Arabidopsis thaliana: one gene and its partners. The protein of the gene in region 1 interacts with the protein of each later gene in a pairwise test. Each region holds a gene or a part of one and is shown in the gene's direction. Other genes may lie near its edges.

Region 1 (7,440 bases):
AAGAATTTAAAATAATATGCTAGCTCAATATAAAACTACACTTAAAAGTGCTGTTTTCGTGAACCACTTATTTAATTCAAATCATATTGCAAATCAGAAATCTTCTTAATCAACCCATCATCTGCTGACTCATAGGAGGAGCCATCGTCCGTTGCATATTTCCACTCCACCCTATCACATAAAAATAATAAAGTTACATCAAATAATTAATCAAACGTATGAAAGACACTAATTATTTCAATAGAAAGTGAGTCCACAAAACAATGCAATTTACCAATAGAGGGGTCAAGACCACGGGTTTTGAGTTCACGGTGTTCTTGGCAAAGAGCACAACATTCACAAAAGAAGTGAGTGACGCAATCCGAAGTTGGAGACTCCGGTAACCCGAATTTGCTTCGGATCTTGGTCCGGTAAGTGCATGAGAACAAGCAAGGTAAGCCGACCACACAACATATTAGCCCGTAAAATACCCCACATCTCCCACAACCTACGTACATTATATATACGACGTTACGTGAATTCACACACACACACATTGTTTAGATATGACATATGTGAATGTATGGCTTACCGGTCCTTCCTTCGTCGGAAATGTCCGCGATCCGTCCGAAAGTGACGCATGGGCAGAAACATGTGAGGCAAGCTTATCCAGCACAAACCAAAAGGAACAAATCATTATACAATCCTGACAATAGATCTATATATGTATAAAGATTAAAGGACAACTTGATTAAATTTATATAGAATTTCTACCAGTTTCACTGTCTTCCATGCAGCTGAAAAGACCAGAAGTCCATTGCTTTTCCATTGTAAAGTAGCTTCAACCAAATCTTGCGTCAGGTTTTAACCAGTTTTGTGTTGATCGATCTTTTGATAAGCGAGATCGTAAATCAATTAATTAGGGTTTTGAAGATAGATTTTTGTTGTTAGATGCTTTAAGAATGGAGGGTGGGTGGGTATATATATGGTTGATGGTGGATCGCTTCGAGAGATCTACAAATGTTTAATTTTTAGTACATTGCACTTTGGGAAAAATCATAAAAGTTGTAAAAAAGAGTAAAAGACTTTTAAAACTAGTACGTTGCACTTTTTGTTAAAAGGAGGAAGGTTTTTTGAAAATTGATTTTTGTTTAAGGAAGGTGAGAGATTTTACTGATTGTGAGAGATTTTAAGCTACTTAAAAGTAATATGTAAACGCGTTTTTGGGATTGGTTTAATCCACACATATATACAAGATACAAAGAATTTAATTTAATGACTAAGAAAATTAAAGAAATTATGAATAAAAAAGAAATATACATCCTAAAAATGCGAAAGTAAAATAAAACAGGCTATGCTAAATTTTAAAATATTAAATTCAACATTTTTCTATTCATAAAATTTCTATTAAAATTATTTGTAGATAAGAGATAATATGTTCAAACATTATTCCTCTATATAAGGAATCAAACTTGCAAACTTTAAAATAAAATTTTGAAAAATATATCTAATGTAATATTCTGGTTTTATTAGTAAAGTAATATTACTTAATACTAACAAATTACAAAGAAAAGAACTGAAGGAAAAAAAATAAACTTTTAAAATTTTCTAACCAGTGAAATAAATTAGAATTTAAACTTAAAATTTTATTAATTAATAATAGTCATAACAAAATTTGACAAATGTTTTCAACTTAGATGTGCAATAAACATGAATTTATTCTACTAAATCAATACTGGGCCTATGAATGGCGCAAGGAATAGCCCATTGGTTATTCTATATCTTTTGGACCTTACGTTTTTGAAGCCTGTTTAGGATCACACTCATAACAAAAAAATAAATAAGAATTACGCTTCTACCACCATTAAACTCTAATGTATCTGAACTCAGAAGATCCGATCGGAGTAGTAAAAATTCAACAAAACAACAATAAGAAAACTCATTAATTCATTCGTCGGATTCGAAGAAGAAATCACTTCCCAGAAACTTTCTTCGTATCGAAGTATTGCTTGTGTTCTTCGGAGAAACGAGATCGGGATCCGAATACGAGTACAATGGAGGTTTCGCAAGATGGATCGGAAAGAGATAAAACTCCTCCTCCTTCCTCTTCTTCTTCTTCTTCCTCTCCCATTCCTGTCGTCACCAATTTCTGGAAAGGTTTGTTTCAGATTATGTCTAGCTATCTATTCGTTTTCTTCGACTCGTAGTGAAGCTGAGGATGAGCTTGTTTTTGTAGTTAGGAGAAATTCGTTTGTTAGGATTCCGTTTAAGTAGTAAGACTTAATGAGATTCTCACTGAATGTTCGGGGAGATTGCATTGGTAGTTTAATGTGATCGGATTGAGAAATTTCAGTTTATTGCTTTAAAAGTTATCAACACATTTTTCAGTACTGATAACTAGTTTCATCTCGATTCTCCGGCTTTTGTATTTGTTATACGAAACCAGTTTCAATTAGAGAACTGGTTCTGTGGTTGCTCGCTGTTTTGATAGACATCATCATAGAAGAAAGCTCTTCCCGAATGATCCATTTACTTGTCTTTAAACTACTTGTTGCAGAATTTGATTTGGAGAAGGAGAAAAGCCTGCTTGACGAGCAAGGGCTTAGAATAGCTGAAAATCAAGAAAACAGCCAAAAGAATCGCCGAAAGCTTGCAGAGAGCACACGAGGTACTTTTTTGTTTCACCTTTTATATTGCTTAACACTTCAACATTTTCTCCTGAGGGACCTCGATAGGTTCCAGCGAAGAGATGTTAACATATTCTTTGGTTTATCTTGGTAACAACAGACTTCAAGAAAGCTTCGCCTGAGAACAAACTTAGTATGTTTAATTCCCTCCTCAAGGGATATCAAGAAGAAGTAGATAATATTACCAAGAGGGCCAAGTTTGGGGAGAATGCTTTCCTAAATATCTATCAGAAACTCTATGAAGCACCTGATCCGTTTCCTGCTCTTGCTTCTATTGCTGTAATTATCCACTTATCTAATGTTAACATAATAGACACCTAAAGTCCTTTAGCCTGAGAACCAACTAATTGCTGTATTCCAGGAGCAAGATCGTAAATTATCTGAAGTGGAATCTGAAAATCGAAAGATGAAAGTTGAACTTGAGGAGTTTAGGACAGAAGCGACTCATCTTAAAAATCAGCAGGCCACAATAAGAAGGCTTGAAGAACGGAACCGCCAGCTTGAGCAACAGGTCAGCTTGCTTTTAACCTCTTCTTCTAATTGATATAGGGATAAAACTAAATGAATGTAAAGCACAGCTTCCTTGATTATTTTTCAGTCTATTCTAGGAGGTCAAATGCAAATTTATACACTGAGCCATAAGCATGATTTATATAGAGATGCTATTTTGTGATCTTGTAACGAATAACTGTCGAAGATTAGCAGTGATATCGAGTTGTTATATTTGGATTCAGATGGAAGAAAAAATCAAAGAAGTTGTTGAGATCAAGCAACGAAATCTGGCTGAGGAAAACCAGAAAACGATGGAGCTTTTAAAGGATAGGTAAAAAAAAAATTCTCTTCTGCATGCTTTGGGTGTTTAGAAAGTTTTCGAGGAAGCACCAACCTTTCCTTGTTCACTGTTTAACAGGGAGCAAGCTTTGCAAGATCAGTTAAGGCAAGCAAAAGACAGCGTCTCCACTATGCAAAAATTGCATGAGTTAGCACAGAACCAACTTTTTGAACTCCGTGCTCAATCAGGTGGTGCATTGAGCCTTAATATGGTGACTCATATTGTGCTTTCATAATTGGAATGGTCTCCCTTACATATTGTTCCTTCTTGTCTTGTTAATATATGTCACCTTTGTCTAAACCATCAGACGAAGAGACCGCGGGGAAGCAATCTGAAGTTAGTCTATTGATGGATGAAGTGGAGCGTGCTCAGACCCGACTCCTTACTCTTGAGAGGGAAAAGGTCTTTCATATCATGCTCTCTTTGTTTGAATTAAGGGAATGCCCTAAGATAAACCACCGTTTTTAGCTCTCTAATTTTGTTTATTGGTTTGTAACAGGGACATCTGCGTTCTCAGCTGCAAACAGCTAATGAAGATACTGATAACAAGAAAAGGTGAGGTGACACTTATGCGTCCATATAACAAGGAGTCAAATAACTTTTATCTAAGTTTTTGCTTTGTTTTAATTTTTTTGTTATGCTCTTTCTCTACAGTGATAATATTGATTCGAATAGTATGCTGGAGAACTCGTTAACTGCAAAAGAGAAGATTATTTCGGAGCTTAATATGGAGATTCACAATGTTGAGACAGCTTTAGCTAATGAGCGAGAAAGTCATGTTGCCGAGATAAAGAAATTGAATTCTTTGCTCAATAAAAAGGTGAAATTTGTGCTATGTTTTGTCTTTTATGCTGAGAAATTATATTTTGTTCTGAAAATTAGTTTCCGGTCCCTTCAATGTCTAATATTAGCTTACCGTCATTTGGTATTAAACCAGGATACTATCATTGAAGAGATGAAGAAAGAGCTTCAAGAAAGACCATCAGCAAAATTAGTTGATGATTTGCGCAAAAAAGTGAAAATTCTGCAGGTATTCATCATTTCAAGTGTTTTTTGGTGCTCACTTAGTTTAACTTCTTATTAACTTCTTGCCACAGATCCATACCTTGTTCTTTCTGGTAACGGTACGATCGTATGTAGTAATATCATTGTTGCATATTAGGCTGTAGGTTACAATTCAATTGAGGCTGAAGACTGGGATGCTGCTACCACTGGTGAAGAGATGAGCAAAATGGAGTCGCTTCTTCTTGATAAAAACAGAAAAATGGAACATGAGGTCACTCAGTTAAAGGTACATGACCTCTACGGAATGAACCACCACCATCTGTAATTCTGTCTTTTCGTTACTCTTTCCCTTTTCAGTGAACATACACAAGTAAAGTCACTGGTCGATTCACACCACTTCTTTTCCCAGGTTCAACTTTCTGAGAAAGCTTCCTTGCTTGAGAAGGCTGAAGCCAAGGGAGAAGAACTGACAGCTAAGGTTAATGAACAACAAAGACTGATACAAAAGTTGGAGGATGATATTTTGAAGGTACGTAAGAGTGTGTAGTTACCATTTTAAGTTAAAAGGTATCTGTGCTACTGCTACTAAGGAGGAGAAACTCGATCAAAGTCTTTGATTATACTGAAACCTTATTTACTTGTTACACAGGGTTACGGTTCAAAAGAGCGAAAAGGTGCTCTATTTGATGAATGGGAGTTCTCAGAAGCAGGTGTGGCTGAGCAGTCTGAGGTACTTCTCTCTGGCCCTGTGCATATATGAGTCAATGAGTCGTGTAATTTATCATGCAATACTCTTAAAGCAGGAAAATTTTCCCAAAAGTAAAAGAAAGGATGGAATCGTTCAGAACTAAGAGTTAGATAAACAGTAACCTATCGCTTTAAGTTCTCTACTAGATAATCTTAACGGTCTAACATGTATGCTCACTCTGCCTTCTATTTATGGCGTGAATTAAAATATTGCTAGGGAATCGTGGTACGTATATATTTTACCATGATCTATTTTTTTTTCAAAAGCAAAATACCTCTGAACTTCTTGTCAAACCATTAAAAAGTTTTCATACAACTAAGGGTATTTCCATGATATGGTATATTATATACCTCACAATTAGACTTATCACTAACTACTGCTCTTTATCATTTTGTGTTTCCTTTTATTAGCCTATGGATCAGAAACATGTTCCATCAGAGCAAGATCAAAGCTCAATGCTAAAAGTTATCTGCAGCCAAAGAGATCGGTTCCGAGCACGATTACGGGAAACAGAAGAGGTACAGTTAGTTGTACATATAAATGATCCTCTTCCCTCTGTATTCTCTATCTCCAGTTAAATTTATTTGAACTGAATTTTATGTGTTCTCTTAACATTGCAGGAAATAAGGCGATTAAAAGAGAAGATAGGTTTTCTCACAGACGAATTGGAGAAGACCAAAGCAGACAACGTCAAACTCTATGGGAAAATCCGTTATGTCCAAGACTATAACCATGATAAAGTTGTTTCCCGAGGATCGAAAAAGGTATTTGTTTTCTGCGATACATTTCCCTTGAACCTTTTCTGTCTCGTGATCGGGTTTTTTCCATGGTTGATATCGTTTTCCAATCTCAGTATGTGGAAGATCTTGAAAGTGGATTCAGCTCGGATGTCGAATCAAAATACAAGAAAATTTACGAAGATGACATCAACCCTTTTGCAGCATTCTCGAAAAAGGTAAAAAATAAAACATTCTGCTATCATCGACACAAGCCTTATATTTCTTTCCTAAACATTAACCCTTTCCTATTTATATGTGTTTGATAGGAAAGAGAGCAACGGATCAAAGATTTGGGAATCAGAGATCGGATTACGCTAAGCAGTGGGCGGTTCCTTCTAGGAAACAAGTAATCCTCTTGCTCTCAAGTTTATTCACATTCATACTCGATCACAGAATTTTCGGTTATTTTCAATTTCATGATTGGATCTTTCAGATACGCAAGGACATTTGCTTTCTTCTACACAATAGGATTGCACGTCCTTGTCTTCACTTGTCTCTACCGTATGTCTGCTTACAGTTATCTCAGGTAAAACAAACCCACCAATTTTTGTTTTTGTTACAAGTCCATTATGTGATTGATTTTATTTAATTTCTTCTTCTTTATTTATGGTTTAGCCATGGAGCAGAGGAGACTCTAATGACAGAAGCAACCACAAACCTTCCTCACGGTCTTTAAGCTCTCACCCTAGGGACTTATTCGTTTTTGGTCGTTATGTTCTTTCTTGTCCTTGTAGTGTTCCGTGGGCAATTCTAAAACGGTTGAATATTTGTACAGAGGGATCCAAATCACTCGATACATATATAAAGCCACAGAAAAAACTTCCTTCAGAAAACTGCAGAAATCTAAATAAGATCTGGTTTACTTTTCTTCGAAACATAAATAACCATGAAAAATGCACCAAAACGATAACAAATCCGACAGGAATAATTGTTGCTATCCAAATACAAAATAAAATAAAATGAAAGTCGTTGCTTGATATCTGTTAGGCAACAACACCTACGTGGCTGGGCCTTTGAATGCTTGCTTGACAATCGATGGGATAGTGAGGTAGGAGCTGTTATCGGTAAGGCTGGAGCCAATAGGCCTTATTTTCCAGAACGGGCCATGATCAAGAGTTTTCGACCCAAACGTCCCGAAGAAGGGATGGTTAGGAAACATCCTGATATATGTCTGAGAGAAGGCGGCAAGTGCTTCCGCAAGGGGAGGGAGGTTGCGAACTGTGCTTTTGAGCTGGTAACCGAACTCATAGGTTGCACGCTTATCAGCAATACAATTTGGTGATTCTGGAAGATGTTCCGGGGTAGAGAGAACGACCATGACTTGGTTAGCAACCAACCCATGTGGAGAGCAGTCAGCAAGGGTGCCGGATCCTTCAAAGGATGCAGCAACATCATCCGCAACTCCTTTTA
Region 2 (4,468 bases), on another chromosome or scaffold:
AAGCAAACTGCCTAATGGCTGTTGTGAGAAAATGAAAAAGTCAACATCATGTATGTGTAGATTCCTAATGGCCAAGGAACGTGACCTGAACGCAGCTGCTCATAGAATATTCTGGTTTTGCAAAATTTCCGTCCCTAATTGTCCAAAAATCTAGAGATATAGGTTATGGTTTTTTCTTAATTTATTTTATACATAAGTTATGTTCCTCGACTATATCTACGACATGATTGATTGAAGCTCGAGAGACACAAGTTGAGCTTCAATACACAACCATTTAAGAAACATATAACCATTTAAGCGAAAATTATTATTAATACTTTATCCACCTTTGTAACTAACACACAGAAACATGATCCTGTGACATTTTACGTGTTCCAGATATCACTTGATCCTGTGACTTTTTAGCATTTTCCAGGGTACCTTAAAAGTCGAGTTATCGATCTCTGCTAGTAATATCTGTTTCTAAATTGACAAGTGAAAACGAAGTCGTTTCGTCAACACCAAAAGCATTAAACACGTCAAAAAGACAAAACCACCTTTGTCTTCTTGCGTTCTTCGCCCTCAACCCACCACTATCAATTTAAGACCAATCTGAAAACCATCATGACGACAAGGATCATACATTTTTTCTTTGCTTTCCTTCTCCTTGCCTCACTTTTCCTCAAAGGCAGTATTCTAAAATACATTCGTACATATATACGATGTTGTGAGAAGCCGTACAGTTGTATAACACAACTAAAGTAGCAATCTATTTGTTAAATTTTATGGTGAGTGTGGATTCATTCAAAACTTCCATCCCCATCACTACCTTCATCCATCCGACCATTCAAGCTTCGAACCTTAGATTCTGTGGATCAAACCATTGGTGGATATCCCGTGGCTGCCTCAATTCTATTCTACTTTCCATTCAAGATGGTTCAAAGTTCTACTTCAAGCAGATATTTTGTGAATGGATTTAAGTTATTATTCCTGTCTATTTGAGTTTTGTAGAATTTGCTTTCTAGTATACATACTTCACCATGTATTATAATTGACTCAACTTTGGTCATCCAAGTCTATACTAGTTTATACTTTCATATGGTATAGTTCGGGACCGAACATGGGGTCCTATATCTAGGAGATAGTGGAGCAGCTGACGACACGTGACGAGCTCCTTAATGAATAAAACTCCACATAAACAGAGCTAACAATAGGACAACCATCCTTCCATCTCTCCGACTTCCCATATTGTTTTGTTTCTCAATTTTCTATTTAAAGACATCTAAAAAATGAAGAAAACAAAGATTATTAATTTCTACAAAGTAAACTCATCTTATTTTGATTGTAATTTCGAGTTACTAATACATTAGCAATGAAGATCAGTCCATGGATACTCATAGCCATCATCATGATGATCTTAGCATCATTTCCTTCTCCGATCAAAGTCGTTGGTGCAAAAAAAGAGCTACCATTTTGCAATCTGGATCTTCTAGCTTGCGTCCAACCTTTTCTAGTTAACGGTCACGGAGGCAAACTGCCTAAAGGCTGTTGTGAGAAAATGAAAAAGTCAACATCATGCATGTGTAGATTCCTTACGGCCAAGGAACAGAATCTAAACGCAGCTGCTCATAGAATATTCTGGTTTTGCCATATTTCTGTCCCCAATTGTCCAAAAATATAGGGGTTATAGGTTATGTTCCTCGGCCATAATTATGACACTTTGTACTAAAATGTTATAACACCTATGGGCAAGGTGTTTCTAAATTGGTAAGTCGGAAAACGACGTCGTTTACAAAATCCGATCTGCACACACACTCACATTCATATGTCGTTCTTCGTCAACGTCGGTGAAGAAAGCATAAACACGTCAAAAGACAAAAGCACCTCTGTCTTCTTGCTTTCTTCGCCCTTTTACTTCAACCCACGAAGATCAATTCAACTAAACCAATCTCAAAACCATCATGAGGACAAGTTTTAGACTTCTCTTCTTCGCTTTCCTTCTACTTGTCTCACCTTTTCTCAAAGGTAACACCTTTCTCTTCTACTTGTTCATTCATTTGCTGATTCTACTCTGTTTTTGTTCACATGATCTTTGTTTGAATTCATTGTGATGGGTTTTGTTTGTTTTTAGTTGCTTTGTGCCAATCGGATTCGGAAGATTCTGGCTTCGAAGTTTCTGATGTTGGTGAAGAAGAGAGTGATGCAGAGGAAGTTTTTGGTTTGGAACTTACCTCAGCTCCTGGAATTGAAACCCTTTGCGTTTTCCCCAAGAACAGTGCAAAAAGTACAGATTTTTACTCTGTTTTTAATCTAATTTCTGAAATTAGGCTTCTTCTCAATTTGGTTTGTCTGATTTTCTGTAGTAATAAAAGCTGGAGTTGAGACTGAGCTGCTTGTTGGAATGAAAAATGATGGTAATGAAAGTGATTTTTCTATCAAATGATTACTTGCAAAGTTAGCTATAAAGTTTCTAACTTTGTGGTTGGGTTATATGAATAGGTCAATCCAATGTAGATATTGTTGCTGTTAAAGGCAGTTTACATCTTCCTTTTGATCAAAATGCTGTTCAGAATCTCACTGCTCTGGTAATTAATCATCTTTTGCTTCTTCTCACATTTATTGCTTGTGTGATCTCACTTGTCTTTCCATATTAGTTTTTCCCTTTGTTAGGTTCTTTTCATTGCCTGTTTTGTCTCATCTCATGTTACTCCACACTATGCACTCTTTGTTAGGTCATTCATGGTTTAGTAACAATACCTGAACTTGTTACATCCCTGTATCTAAATGCAAGAAAGTCTCTCTCTAGCCTTTAATCTTTATCATTTATGTTTTGATACCAGATACTTGCTTTGGCTCTAGCTATATTCCATTTCATTTCTAGATATAGAATCTTACAATGGCTTTTGCTGAATATAGAGTTTTCTCCTCTTTTCCTTTTCTGGCCTTTGCTCTTTAAGTTTGCTACTTATTATTTGGTCATTTTGTCGAATCATCTAAATGTAGAGTTTCAGCAACGCGTCTGTGCCAACTTCCGCTCAAGCTACCTTGCCATATGCTTTTGCTGTCAGCAAGTTCCTGCAGGTATGTTTGTTAATCATATAGTTCTTCTAGTCTCCAAGATGACATTAAAATATAGAATAGAATCCGAGGTAACCATTTGCTCGTGCAGGCGGGTGCTTTTGATTTTGTTGGCACCATCATCTATGAGATAGATGGTAAGCCATACCAAAGCATCTTTTATAATGGAACTATTGAAGTTGTTGAAGATGGTCCTCTCTTCAGAATGGAGTCAGTCTTCCTTAGTGGTCTTTTAATCTTTGTTATCGCTTTTCTCGCCATCTATATCCAAAATGTTTTGAAGCATATGACCAAGGTACATCCTATTTCGCTATCTTATCGCACTTTCATTCCATGGTACTAACTTTGAGAATGGTTACTGTGAAAATGCTTTGCGCAGAAAACAAAGAGAGCACCAAAAGTTGAAGTTGGAACCGCAACTAAAGATGCTTCGCATGATGAATGGCTTGAGGTATTCGTTGCACAAGACCTAATAACTTTCTCCATAATGGGTTTTAACTTTTAATGTATTGAACATTTTGGTATTGATACATTGCTCTCAATGTATTGTGTAATGCAGGGTACTTCGTACACTCAATCTTCGAGTAAGTCAAAGAAGAAGAAGTAGATCTCACACGCTTTGTTAGGGGGCTTGAGATAAGAAACCGAAAACACACGAACGATAGTAACGTTGCAGTTGTTGGTAGAGATAACTTCACAGAATCTGTAATGCTTTCTTTACTCTCTCTAGCTATAGATGTTGCAAGGAAACAATTTTCTTTAACTTTTGTAATTTGTCAAGATTATTTTCTTTTGTTTAAAATGATAATTCTCTTTCGAAAGTTCATGTATATAGTAAAGAAAAGTTGAATAATCATTAGATTAACAATATAGGTTGAAATTTTGTATTTGGAAATTATATCGTATAATCCAAGGTTTAAAATATGAGAGTTGTGTCATTAGACTATTATGATGCTCTATGAAGCTAATCCTCTCAGTCTCTACAATTATTTAAGAGTGGTTTGGGCTAAGTACATGTACATTATCGGAACTCTTATTTATCTCCAAACCAATGGGCTTCTTTTTACGACATTGGGCTTAATATTCCTGGCCCGTAAATAAATCAATGAAACGACTACTTAATATCTTATCCAGTAAAAAGGTAGAGAAAAAAAAAACACAATATTCTCTCTCTGCCTCGGATCCACGCAACTATTAACCCTAGTTAGATTCAACACTAACCACAGTTAACACGAACCCTTTCAATCTTCCTCCACGTGTCAAAATCAACGGTCACAAAAATCATTTCCTTCTCTTTATAAAACACTACCAAAACCCTAATCTCTTTCACACAATCACAGAACCTAATCTTCTTCTCCAATCAATCTCAGAGAAAAAAAGAAATGGCAACAAACCCTAAAGTCTACTTCGA
Region 3 (5,034 bases), on another chromosome or scaffold:
GCCGCTGATATTTATCAATCTTTTGTTTGTGAAAAAGTAAAGCCACTTATTTATTGCTTATGTCCTATATGTTTCCTAACACTTCAAAAAAAACAGAGTATCAAAACATGATATTCAAGAACATTTATGCTCGAGAGATCCGTTGTAGATCATCAATTATTCATTTTATAACTCCATTCGATTGGTAAGCTAACCAGTAGACGATTCGGTATGAGAAAAATTAAGAATTCATGAATCTACTAGCAGAGATATTGATATACTGTTGTGGTTGCAAAACAATAACTCGAATTTAAAGGGCTCAGTTGCTTAAAACATCCTATTTGATCCACAGCTTGACTCATATATTGTTTTGGTACTGGCATCTATAATTTAATACTGCGTTTTCTAAATTAACAAAATCATTCTTGCTGCATAAGATTGCTCTGGTTTTGAAGCCATCAAGTTTTCTTATTTTGTTAAAAATTTATGATCTTTAACCATAAGTAATATATATAGTGAAAACATGAGAAAATTTGGTGGATTCTAGAAAAGCACTCTCCGTCAACGTGATCGATATTATGATGAAATGATTACAAAGATGCAATTATATATATCCACGAGCAACAAGACGAAGACAAAAATGTAAACAAGTTAACATATGATTTTGGAATTAGATCAGTAATAAACAAACATATGCACAACTACATGAGAAGTAAAAACTAGTAAACGAGAAATCTCTAACTTAAGATGCGTGGTATGTACGTAACTCCAAAAGAACAACTTGACATTTTTTTTTTTTTTTTTTTTTTGAATGTAATGTTAAATTATATTCAAGAAAAATAACGTTTTTGATACAAGGCTTTGAAAGTATGAAAGAACAACTTGACTATTTGATAAACAACTTGACTCATATATTGCTCTGTTATTAAAATTTTAATACTGCGTTTTCTAAATTAAATTATCATTCTTGCTGCATAAGATTGTTGTGGTTTTGTAACCATCAAATTTTCCTTTTTTGTTAAAACTCTGATCTTTAGTAAATTGAGAAAGCTACCTCTACTATACCCTTAAAATCTCTAAGTCTGGTCTGTCAAAGATTATTTTAATCATCAAACAGTGTATTTTCAGTTTTTTCTCAAGATTTTCCCTCAGTTTCTTTGAATGAATCTGGTTTCTTTCGGTGAAAGAGTGCTGGTCGTAATTGAGTTTGGTTTGTAATATATTACTTAAGTGTCGTGTCTGTTAAGTTAAAGTAGTTATGTTTGTTGTGTCACAAGAAAGAAGAGTCATAACTCTTGACTTTTCATGTCTGTTGGTTTGTATTTAAGTTAATTGTTGTAAACCTTGTAAAACAGTTGTTGTATTTCACTTTCTCTATAATAGAAAGACAAGTTCTTCTCTTTATTGTTATGTTGACGATCAAACCAATTGTGATACAAAGTCTGATTCTCTTTCTCTGTTCTTAACTCTGTTCTGTTTCTAGAAGGAGATTCAGTTTCTAACAAAGTGGTGGATTTGCATGGAAATTTCTCATAGATAACCTCTTGAAGAGTAAGCAGCGACATGACACATGAGGCAAGAACTATTCAAATTCTTCGAAAACTTGTTGACATTTATAAACTCAACACACACACACACACAAAAAAACTACATATTTCTACTATTACGACAGCAGAAGAAAACAGAGCATGTTGTGATCATGATGAGTCTTATTCCTACATTGTCACTATAACGAGACTTTCATATATGAACAATAAATTGGAGTTTCCTGGAAAAATCAAGACAAGAAAGAAAGGACAGATAAAGAAGTTGACGCATTTATATTTTTCTAACGTCTAGTAGTCTGAATCTTTACTTTTCTTCACATTTGATTATTCAACAATGTCAAATCAGGGGTTACTTTTCAAGCTATAAGAAGCGAATAAGCGATGAGAGAAAACTCAAAGAGAAACAAGTTTAGAGAGAAAGAAAGAGAAAGGTAGAAGATGAAGTTCCAGGAGGGTGTGTTCTTGGTGGTTATTTTCTTCCTTGCATATACTCAGCTTGTGAAGGGGCAACATCAACCTCGCGAAGATTGTAAACTTAAATGTGGAAACGTCACAATAGAGTACCCTTTTGGTATTTCTACAGGTTGTTACTATCCCGGAGATGATAATTTCAATCTCACCTGTGTCGTGGAAGAGAAGCTACTACTCTTTGGCATCATTCAAGTGACCAATATTTCTCACAGTGGCCATGTAAGTGTACTGTTTGAACGATTCTCTGAATGCTACGAGCAGAAAAATGAGACTAATGGAACTGCCCTCGGGTATCAGCTGGGTAGTAGTTTCTCTCTCTCCTCCAACAACAAGTTTACTTTAGTAGGATGTAACGCTTTATCACTTTTGAGCACTTTTGGAAAGCAAAACTACTCAACTGGATGCTTGTCATTATGCAATTCTCAACCAGAGGCAAATGGAAGATGTAATGGTGTAGGTTGCTGCACAACAGAGGACTTCTCTGTCCCGTTCGATAGCGATACATTCCAATTTGGCTCAGTTCGCTTGAGAAACCAAGTTAATAATTCCTTAGATCTATTTAATACTTCGGTATATCAGTTTAATCCTTGCACCTACGCTTTTCTCGTTGAAGATGGTAAGTTTAACTTCGATTCTTCAAAAGATCTTAAGAATCTGAGGAATGTCACGAGGTTCCCTGTGGCACTAGATTGGTCTATTGGAAACCAGACATGTGAGCAAGCTGGAAGCACAAGAATATGCGGTAAGAACAGCTCATGTTACAATTCTACTACTAGAAACGGGTATATCTGCAAATGTAATGAAGGTTATGATGGGAATCCATACCGTTCAGAGGGTTGCAAAGGTACTTCATATTAATTTCTTTGCTTTCTTTCTTCTTTTGAGTGTTTATAATCTTCCTCATACGTTTTTGGTTGCATCTTGTGCACTTATTCCTTTGGTCAGACATCGATGAGTGTATTAGTGATACACATAACTGTTCGGATCCAAAAACCTGTAGAAACAGGGATGGAGGCTTCGATTGTAAGTGTCCATCTGGTTACGACTTAAACTCCAGTATGAGCTGCACGAGGCCCGAATACAAACGGACTCGAATTTTTCTTGGTAAACACTCTTCACTGGTTCTAGATTCTCTTTAAATCAACTCGCTCTAATCATCTATGCATGATGTTATCAGTAATCATAATCGGCGTCTTGGTCCTCCTGCTTGCTGCGATCTGTATACAACATGCAACGAAGCAAAGGAAGTATACCAAGCTCCGACGACAATTCTTTGAGCAAAATGGTGGTGGCATGTTGATACAGCGACTTTCAGGAGCAGGGTTGTCAAACATTGATTTCAAAATCTTTACTGAGGAAGGCATGAAAGAGGCAACTAATGGCTATGATGAGAGCAGAATCTTGGGCCAGGGAGGTCAAGGAACAGTCTACAAAGGGATATTGCCGGACAACACTATCGTTGCTATAAAGAAAGCTCGGCTTGCAGACAGTAGACAAGTAGATCAGTTCATCCACGAAGTGCTCGTGCTTTCACAAATTAACCACAGGAACGTGGTCAAGATCTTGGGTTGCTGTCTAGAGACTGAAGTCCCCTTGTTGGTCTATGAATTCATTACCAATGGCACCCTTTTCGATCACTTGCACGGTTCCATTTTTGATTCTTCTCTTACATGGGAACACCGCCTCAGAATAGCGATAGAAGTCGCTGGAACTCTTGCTTATCTTCACTCCTCTGCTTCTATTCCAATCATCCATCGCGATATCAAAACTGCAAATATTCTCTTGGATGAAAACTTAACTGCAAAAGTAGCCGACTTTGGCGCTTCTAAGCTTATACCAATGGATAAAGAGCAGCTCACAACTATGGTGCAAGGCACTCTAGGCTATTTAGACCCAGAATACTATACCACAGGGCTTCTGAACGAGAAGAGCGATGTGTATAGCTTTGGGGTAGTCCTCATGGAACTGCTCTCAGGTCAAAAGGCATTGTGCTTTGAACGGCCACAGGCTTCAAAACATTTGGTGAGTTACTTTGTTTCTGCCACGGAAGAGAATAGGTTGCATGAGATTATTGACGACCAAGTGTTGAACGAGGATAATCTGAAGGAGATCCAGGAAGCTGCAAGAATTGCTGCAGAGTGTACAAGGCTAATGGGAGAGGAAAGGCCAAGGATGAAAGAAGTAGCTGCAAAGCTAGAAGCCTTGAGGGTCGAGAAAACCAAACATAAGTGGTCGGATCAGTATCCTGAGGAGAATGAACACTTGATTGGTGGTCACATCTTGTCTGCACAAGGCGAAACCAGTAGCAGCATTGGCTATGATAGCATCAAAAATGTAGCAATATTGGACATTGAAACTGGCCGCTGATATTGCTCACAAAATCACATGTATCTCTTTTGTTTGTAAAAAAAGAAAACCACTTATTTGTTGCTTCATCAATATGCTTTGAGAGCTTGTTTGTTCATCATCAATAATCATGTTCATATTTTCCTTTACTTGGTATACTATGGTGCAAGGCACTCTAGGCTATTTAGACCCAGAATACTATACCACAGGGCTTCTGAACGAGAAGAGCGATGTGTATAGCTTTGGGGTAGTCCTCATGGAACTGCTCTCAGGTCAAAAGGCATTGTGCTTTGAACGGCCACAGGCTTCAAAACATTTGGTGAGTTACTTTGTTTCTGCCACGGAAGAGAATAGGTTGCATGAGATTATTGACGACCAAGTGTTGAACGAGGATAATCTGAAGGAGATCCAGGAAGCTGCAAGAATTGCTGCAGAGTGTACAAGGCTAATGGGAAAAGAAAGGCCAAGGATGAAAGAAGTAGCTGTAGAGCTAGAAACTTTGAGCGTCAAAACAACCAAACATAATTGGTCGGATCAGTATCGAGAGGAGAATTTACACTTGCTTGGTAGCAACATCGTGTCTTCCCAAGGCGATACCAATAGCCGTGGTTATGACAGCGTCAAGAATGTAGCATTGCTTGACATTGAAGCTGGCCGCTGATAAATTTTGTTTGTTAAAAAGTATATTGTT
Region 4 (5,075 bases), on another chromosome or scaffold:
ATTATACAACAATCTTTGTCATAAACTACGTAAAGATAATGAAGTAGCTAGTCCTGTATATATTATCTTATGTTTCCTGGTACTAGTTCTGGTGCGACTGCTAAAATCTAAATTGTCGTCTTTAGATTAACATTTGTTTTTTTTTTCTCTCTATGAAAGTACTAAATTTTCATAGGATAAGCCATTCAAAATATCAATTACAGTGACTATTGAGTATTGACTAATATTATTTGAACTCACAACTCACCTACATGTATTAATGTTTGCATTATTTTAGTGATTGCTAAAACACATAAGTGTCACATGACATATATATCATTGTTTAGGCTAAACATATTATATATATGGTCTATATTATAGATATCGATCCAAGTCTATTAGCCAATCCAACACTAAAACAATCCTCTTGTAAATGAGTAGCTCATGACGACATTATTCTGTTTCATTTTGGAAGCATTAGCATCATTTCCACACACACGTGTTGACCTAAAAAGGCCTATATTTGTTCTATTTATAAAGCCTTAAATTAAAGACTCAAGCAATATCACATGGATCTAATATATAATCATATGTTGCATAGAAAAAAAGAACAAAAAAGAAATAGAGAGAGGTGGTTGAATGATTTAGGCTTTACATCAAACCCACTGTTTCAATAATTTTGTTAGGTGTGTGTGTGTATGTGTGAATACAGCTAGAGAGTTTCACGAAGAAGCTGGTTGGTCAAAACTTTTGACTCGAAAGGAATTGCTGACAAATCGATCAATCAATTTGCTTCAGAGAGAAAAAAAAAACACATAAACACAATTGACATCTCTCTATCTATACGGTCCGATACTAGACTTGGCGAACCAAACTAAAGATACAGTAGGACACTGTGACTGTCTAGGACCACCAGAGATATTCAGTGAAGTTTCTATAGTCATCATAAGTCAATCTTGCTGACTACATCATACTAATAGGAACTATAGTCGTAAGGAACATATATACCACATTAAGCTTGTTTCTTTTGATTAACTCCTCAAGTTGTTTTCAAAATACTCGACGAACTAGACTGAATCAGCAATAAGACCAAACATGTAAAATAAACGTTGCAGAAGTTAATGCTCATTAGTTTTCTCTTTTGTAAGAACATACAAACACACAGGTGACAAGTTTTGGCCAAGAATTACAAAATAATATGATACCTTCATAGTCATACCTCAGAATTAATGTCCTAGTCGAGAAGCAGAAGTTTGTTTTTATAGATCTTTCTTTTCATTAGAGAAATGGGTATCGGCCCAATAACATAGGCCAACCCATTTGCATTTATTTTCTCATATCCAGTAAGGATATACTTTCAAATTTTTGTATAAATGGGATTTTGATTTTTCTTTAATATGTTGAACGAATTTAGTAAACTATTCACATTATTTTATGTTCAGAACTATACTGTAAAATAACTAACGGTCAACAATAATTGAGAGAATTTGGAAGTTTTCGTTAGACTCACATCAATAATGTGACTCAAAGCTAATAATTGCAATTTCCGACAAATTTGTGGCATGGGCGTTTATGCTGTCTTCTACTCTTCTTGTATGACAACGCACATACCCGAGCTTCGTAAATTTTATTTCTATTTTTTTCAAGTATATTTTGTTTTTAAAATGCGATTTTAGAAAGAATTTGTGTGATCAGAATTCACGGTGTAATAATAGTTTGTATGCATACTGTTGTTTGATGTGTCATAATCCAAATTTAGATAATATGTTTATGTATAATGTTAGAAATAAAAATGTAGTAGAAATTTACGTATATTTTCACTGATAATAGAAATTTTCAAATATCCTTAAACTGTCAATATCCAATTTCTTTATGTTTAAAATATTTCAACAGCTAATTTTCAACCGCTATTTATTTTATTTAAATTTATCTTGTCATTATATTTCGTTATTGATAAATATCTGAAAAAGTGGGTGACAAAAAAATTACCGATTCAAATTATTGTAATAAAATTGACAAATCAAAAGATTGAAATAGAAAACAAAAATGGACTACATTTCTCAAAATGGCAAATAATTTTTATTCATATTTATCAACCTCGAAATGACCTACATATATAGAGACACAAAGATCACAACAAAATCAACCATTCCTTTCCTTATCTTCTTCCTCTTTTGCTTTTCTAATCTCTCAATGGCTACCTTAAAACACAAACCTGTAAATTTGGTATTTTACGTTTATAATTTGATTATTATATTCTCCTCCCATAGTTCCACGGCGGAGCTCCGCAGGCTACTGCAGCCATCAAAAACCGATGGTACAGTGAGCTTTCTCGTTATCGGAGACTGGGGAAGAAGAGGCTCCTATAATCAGTCCCAAGTAGCTCTTCAGGTTACTTCTTATTTTCATTTACAAGTTATTTACTATATTTCTCGCCTGTACGCATATATATAAATATATAATGCAAATTCAATAGTGTATAATTAATACGTATTACGTAAACATATATATGCGTATGCCTTCAAGAGCATACGTGATATGAGGATCAAATTTACTGGTCTTCATATTAATGCCGGCCCTTATGTTTTTATATTATTCTTTTTTTTTCTTTTTTTTATTATTATTATTCAATTTCAATATATATTACTAATTCTTGAACACCATGTTATAAGATACCATAAAAAGAAAGAAAGTCATGTTAGAGGAACTTGAAAGATTCGGTCTGTGTTAAGAAAACAGCTTTAGTGTACGAAGATATTCTACATATGATTTTTGTTTGTACTGTTGTTTTGCAGATGAACTCAATGTGGTAAATTTTATGCTAGTTTGATGTTTTCTTTTATACTGTTGTTTTTAGTTATTTTATGCTAAATTATTTCACACGAAATTTAAACAGATGGGAGAAATCGGAGAGAAATTAGATATCGATTTTGTGATTTCTACTGGAGATAATTTTTACGACAATGGTTTAACCAGCTTGCACGATCCTCTATTTCAAGATTCTTTTACCAACATTTATACCGCTCCGAGCTTGCAGAAACCTTGGTATAGTGGTAAATGTGTGGTTCAATGTGTACATTCGTCGTTGGATCTTAATTATTAAACGATATGTGGTTCAATGTGTTAATTACATTTTCTTTAACCTAAAGTTTTAGGAAATCATGATTATAGAGGTGACGTCAGGGCACAACTTAGCCCTATGCTCAGAGCTCTGGACAACAGATGGGTTTGCATGAGATCTTTCATTGTAAATGCTGGTAATTCCTCCTATATAATATTTCTTCAAAAGTTAGAAATATTTTATTAATCCTCCAATTATTTTTTTATTTTTGTTAATTTCGTTAACTGAACAGAGATCGTCGATTTGTTCTTCGTCGACACAACTCCGTTCGTCGATAAATACTTTATTCAACCAAATAAGCATGTTTATGACTGGAGCGGTGTATTACCTAGGCAAACATATCTGAATAATCTCTTAAAGGTAACAATTTTTTAAGTAAATCTTCCTTTCTTTCTTTTTTCGTCGAAATAGAATTAATATTAACTTAGGAACGTCATTATATACGTGTTTTGGGCAAAACATTCCTTTTTCTTTTGTTATGATTGGATTTTTTTATAAAGTTATGATTGGATGTTAAACGCAGCTTTTATTTTGTCTATTTTCAAATGGAATCGCGTTTTAATTAGGTATGTAATGCGATATGATTAGAGAACAATCTGCCAATGCAACTTTTTTTCTTTTTACGAGCGAGTGACTAACGAAAGCTATAATGTAATAATATAGGAACTCGACGTGGCGTTGAGAGAGTCAGTCGCAAAGTGGAAAATAGTGATTGGTCACCATACGATCAAAAGCGCAGGCCACCACGGGAACACCATTGAGTTGGAGAAACACCTTTTACCTATTCTCCAAGTAACAAAACCATTCCATTCATATAATAAAGTTTATGCACCAATAGAAAAAATCTATCTAATTAAATCTGTTTTTTTTGTTCTCGATTTACTAGGCAAATGAAGTGGATCTCTACGTAAACGGACATGATCATTGCTTAGAGCACATAAGCAGCGTGGACAGGTAGAATAAATTTATTTATTTGTTCGTTAATTATTTTCTTATTAATCAATTATTGTAACGTAAGGGTCCACGTACGGGAGGATATAAAATGTCACCATTTTTGGTTGCATATAGTAACATACAATTTATGACAAGTGGAGGTGGATCCAAGGCCTGGAAAGGAGGTGACGTGAACTACGTTGAACCAGAAGAGATGAGGTTTTACTACGACGGACAAGGTTTCATGTCGGTTCACGTTTCAGAAGCTGAACTGCGTGTAGTCTTTTATGATGTTTTTGGACACGTTCTGCATCATTGGAAGAAGACTTACAAGGAGGCGCTTTATTTCGCTTCTTGATTCCAATTTAATCGGACGTAATTGTTTATGATCGATGTACTATGAAATTATCAATATCGTACTTCGTCGAATTTTCGAATCACATTATGATATGACAAGAACATATCAGCAGCATCAGAAAAAAAAGTCAATGAAATCTTTATTGCGTAAAAGTACAGTTTCAAACAAGATATTATTGAAAATTTGTAAGATGTGAGATTAACTAGAAATACTGCATGCATATACTGTATATACATATCGAATCTAAGCATATTAAAATGTAAATATCATCCTCTCTTACGCTTCCATATTAATTAAGTTAATTAATTTTCGTTATTCTTATCCAATTTGATTAACAAGTTTTCCCGAAGCATGCGTGCATACAGTACTCTTGTGTAGTTTGTAGGGACACAAAATGGGTCCGATTCTCATCTATAAAGATAGATAATGATTTTGTTACATGTCTTTTGTCCTGTGCTCAGATTCTCTTCAATCATGTAATATATATAGATAAGTTATAGTGAATTATGGATTATATGATAAGATAAATGATATACAACTCTATGTTGTGGATGAGATTCTGTCACATAATTTCACAAGCCCCGGATCTCTCATATTTGATCGCAAGAACACTTTTGCTCATACCAAAATTATCTCCCAAAAGAAATATAATAGTCATTCTATTAAGGCTTATCTTATTTTACT

The links.
Region 2: the proteins of CASP (region 1) and AT2G16595 interact in a protein complementation assay, tested with the Arabidopsis thaliana proteins (one large-scale study listed by BioGRID).
Region 3: the proteins of CASP (region 1) and WAK3 interact in a protein complementation assay, tested with the Arabidopsis thaliana proteins (one large-scale study listed by BioGRID).
Region 4: the proteins of CASP (region 1) and PAP3 interact in a protein complementation assay, tested with the Arabidopsis thaliana proteins (one large-scale study listed by BioGRID).

The regions. Positions count from the first base shown.
Region 1 is NC_003074.8:6,334,891-6,342,330, forward strand, and holds CASP (CCAAT-displacement protein alternatively spliced product), read left to right. Parts: upstream 1-1,801; 5' UTR 1,802-2,033; coding exon 2,034-2,136; intron 2,137-2,536; coding exon 2,537-2,647; intron 2,648-2,766; coding exon 2,767-2,945; intron 2,946-3,027; coding exon 3,028-3,177; intron 3,178-3,400; coding exon 3,401-3,489; intron 3,490-3,576; coding exon 3,577-3,686; intron 3,687-3,805; coding exon 3,806-3,900; intron 3,901-3,997; coding exon 3,998-4,053; intron 4,054-4,152; coding exon 4,153-4,318; intron 4,319-4,435; coding exon 4,436-4,528; intron 4,529-4,660; coding exon 4,661-4,789; intron 4,790-4,912; coding exon 4,913-5,032; intron 5,033-5,152; coding exon 5,153-5,233; intron 5,234-5,661; coding exon 5,662-5,769; intron 5,770-5,871; coding exon 5,872-6,015; intron 6,016-6,104; coding exon 6,105-6,206; intron 6,207-6,296; coding exon 6,297-6,376; intron 6,377-6,463; coding exon 6,464-6,556; intron 6,557-6,645; coding exon 6,646-6,706; 3' UTR 6,707-6,898; and 1 more. Other genes in the region: AT3G18470 (PLAC8 family protein), read right to left, coding at 110-171, 275-487, 572-643, 754-808; ILR2 (iaa-leucine resistant 2), read right to left, coding at 7,028-7,440. UniProt on the Arabidopsis thaliana protein: May be involved in intra-Golgi transport.
Region 2 is NC_003071.7:7,196,423-7,200,890, forward strand, and holds AT2G16595 (Translocon-associated protein (TRAP), alpha subunit), read left to right. Parts: upstream 1-1,704; 5' UTR 1,705-1,940; coding exon 1,941-2,004; intron 2,005-2,110; coding exon 2,111-2,263; intron 2,264-2,342; coding exon 2,343-2,393; intron 2,394-2,478; coding exon 2,479-2,564; intron 2,565-2,982; coding exon 2,983-3,060; intron 3,061-3,148; coding exon 3,149-3,352; intron 3,353-3,436; coding exon 3,437-3,508; intron 3,509-3,616; coding exon 3,617-3,664; 3' UTR 3,665-3,963; downstream 3,964-4,468. Other genes in the region: AT2G16592 (Bifunctional inhibitor/lipid-transfer protein/seed storage 2S albumin superfamily protein), read left to right, coding at 1-154; AT2G16594 (Bifunctional inhibitor/lipid-transfer protein/seed storage 2S albumin superfamily protein), read left to right, coding at 1,352-1,660; ROC3 (rotamase CYP 3), read left to right, coding at 4,440-4,468.
Region 3 is NC_003070.9:7,432,339-7,437,372, forward strand, and holds WAK3 (wall associated kinase 3), read left to right. Parts: upstream 1-1,896; 5' UTR 1,897-1,964; coding exon 1,965-2,841; intron 2,842-2,942; coding exon 2,943-3,101; intron 3,102-3,174; coding exon 3,175-4,364; 3' UTR 4,365-4,492; downstream 4,493-5,034. Other genes in the region: WAK5 (wall associated kinase 5), read left to right, coding at 1-8; AT1G21245 (Protein kinase superfamily protein), read left to right, coding at 4,504-5,004. UniProt on the Arabidopsis thaliana protein: Serine/threonine-protein kinase that may function as a signaling receptor of extracellular matrix component. Binding to pectin may have significance in the control of cell expansion, morphogenesis and development.
Region 4 is NC_003070.9:5,056,598-5,061,672, forward strand, and holds PAP3 (purple acid phosphatase 3), read left to right. Parts: upstream 1-1,985; 5' UTR 1,986-2,082; coding exon 2,083-2,370; exon of another isoform or gene 2,371-2,788; intron 2,789-2,875; coding exon 2,876-3,032; intron 3,033-3,128; coding exon 3,129-3,236; intron 3,237-3,332; coding exon 3,333-3,460; intron 3,461-3,763; coding exon 3,764-3,892; intron 3,893-3,986; coding exon 3,987-4,054; coding exon of another isoform or gene 4,055-4,058; exon of another isoform or gene 4,059-4,168; coding exon 4,169-4,391; 3' UTR 4,392-4,543; downstream 4,544-5,075.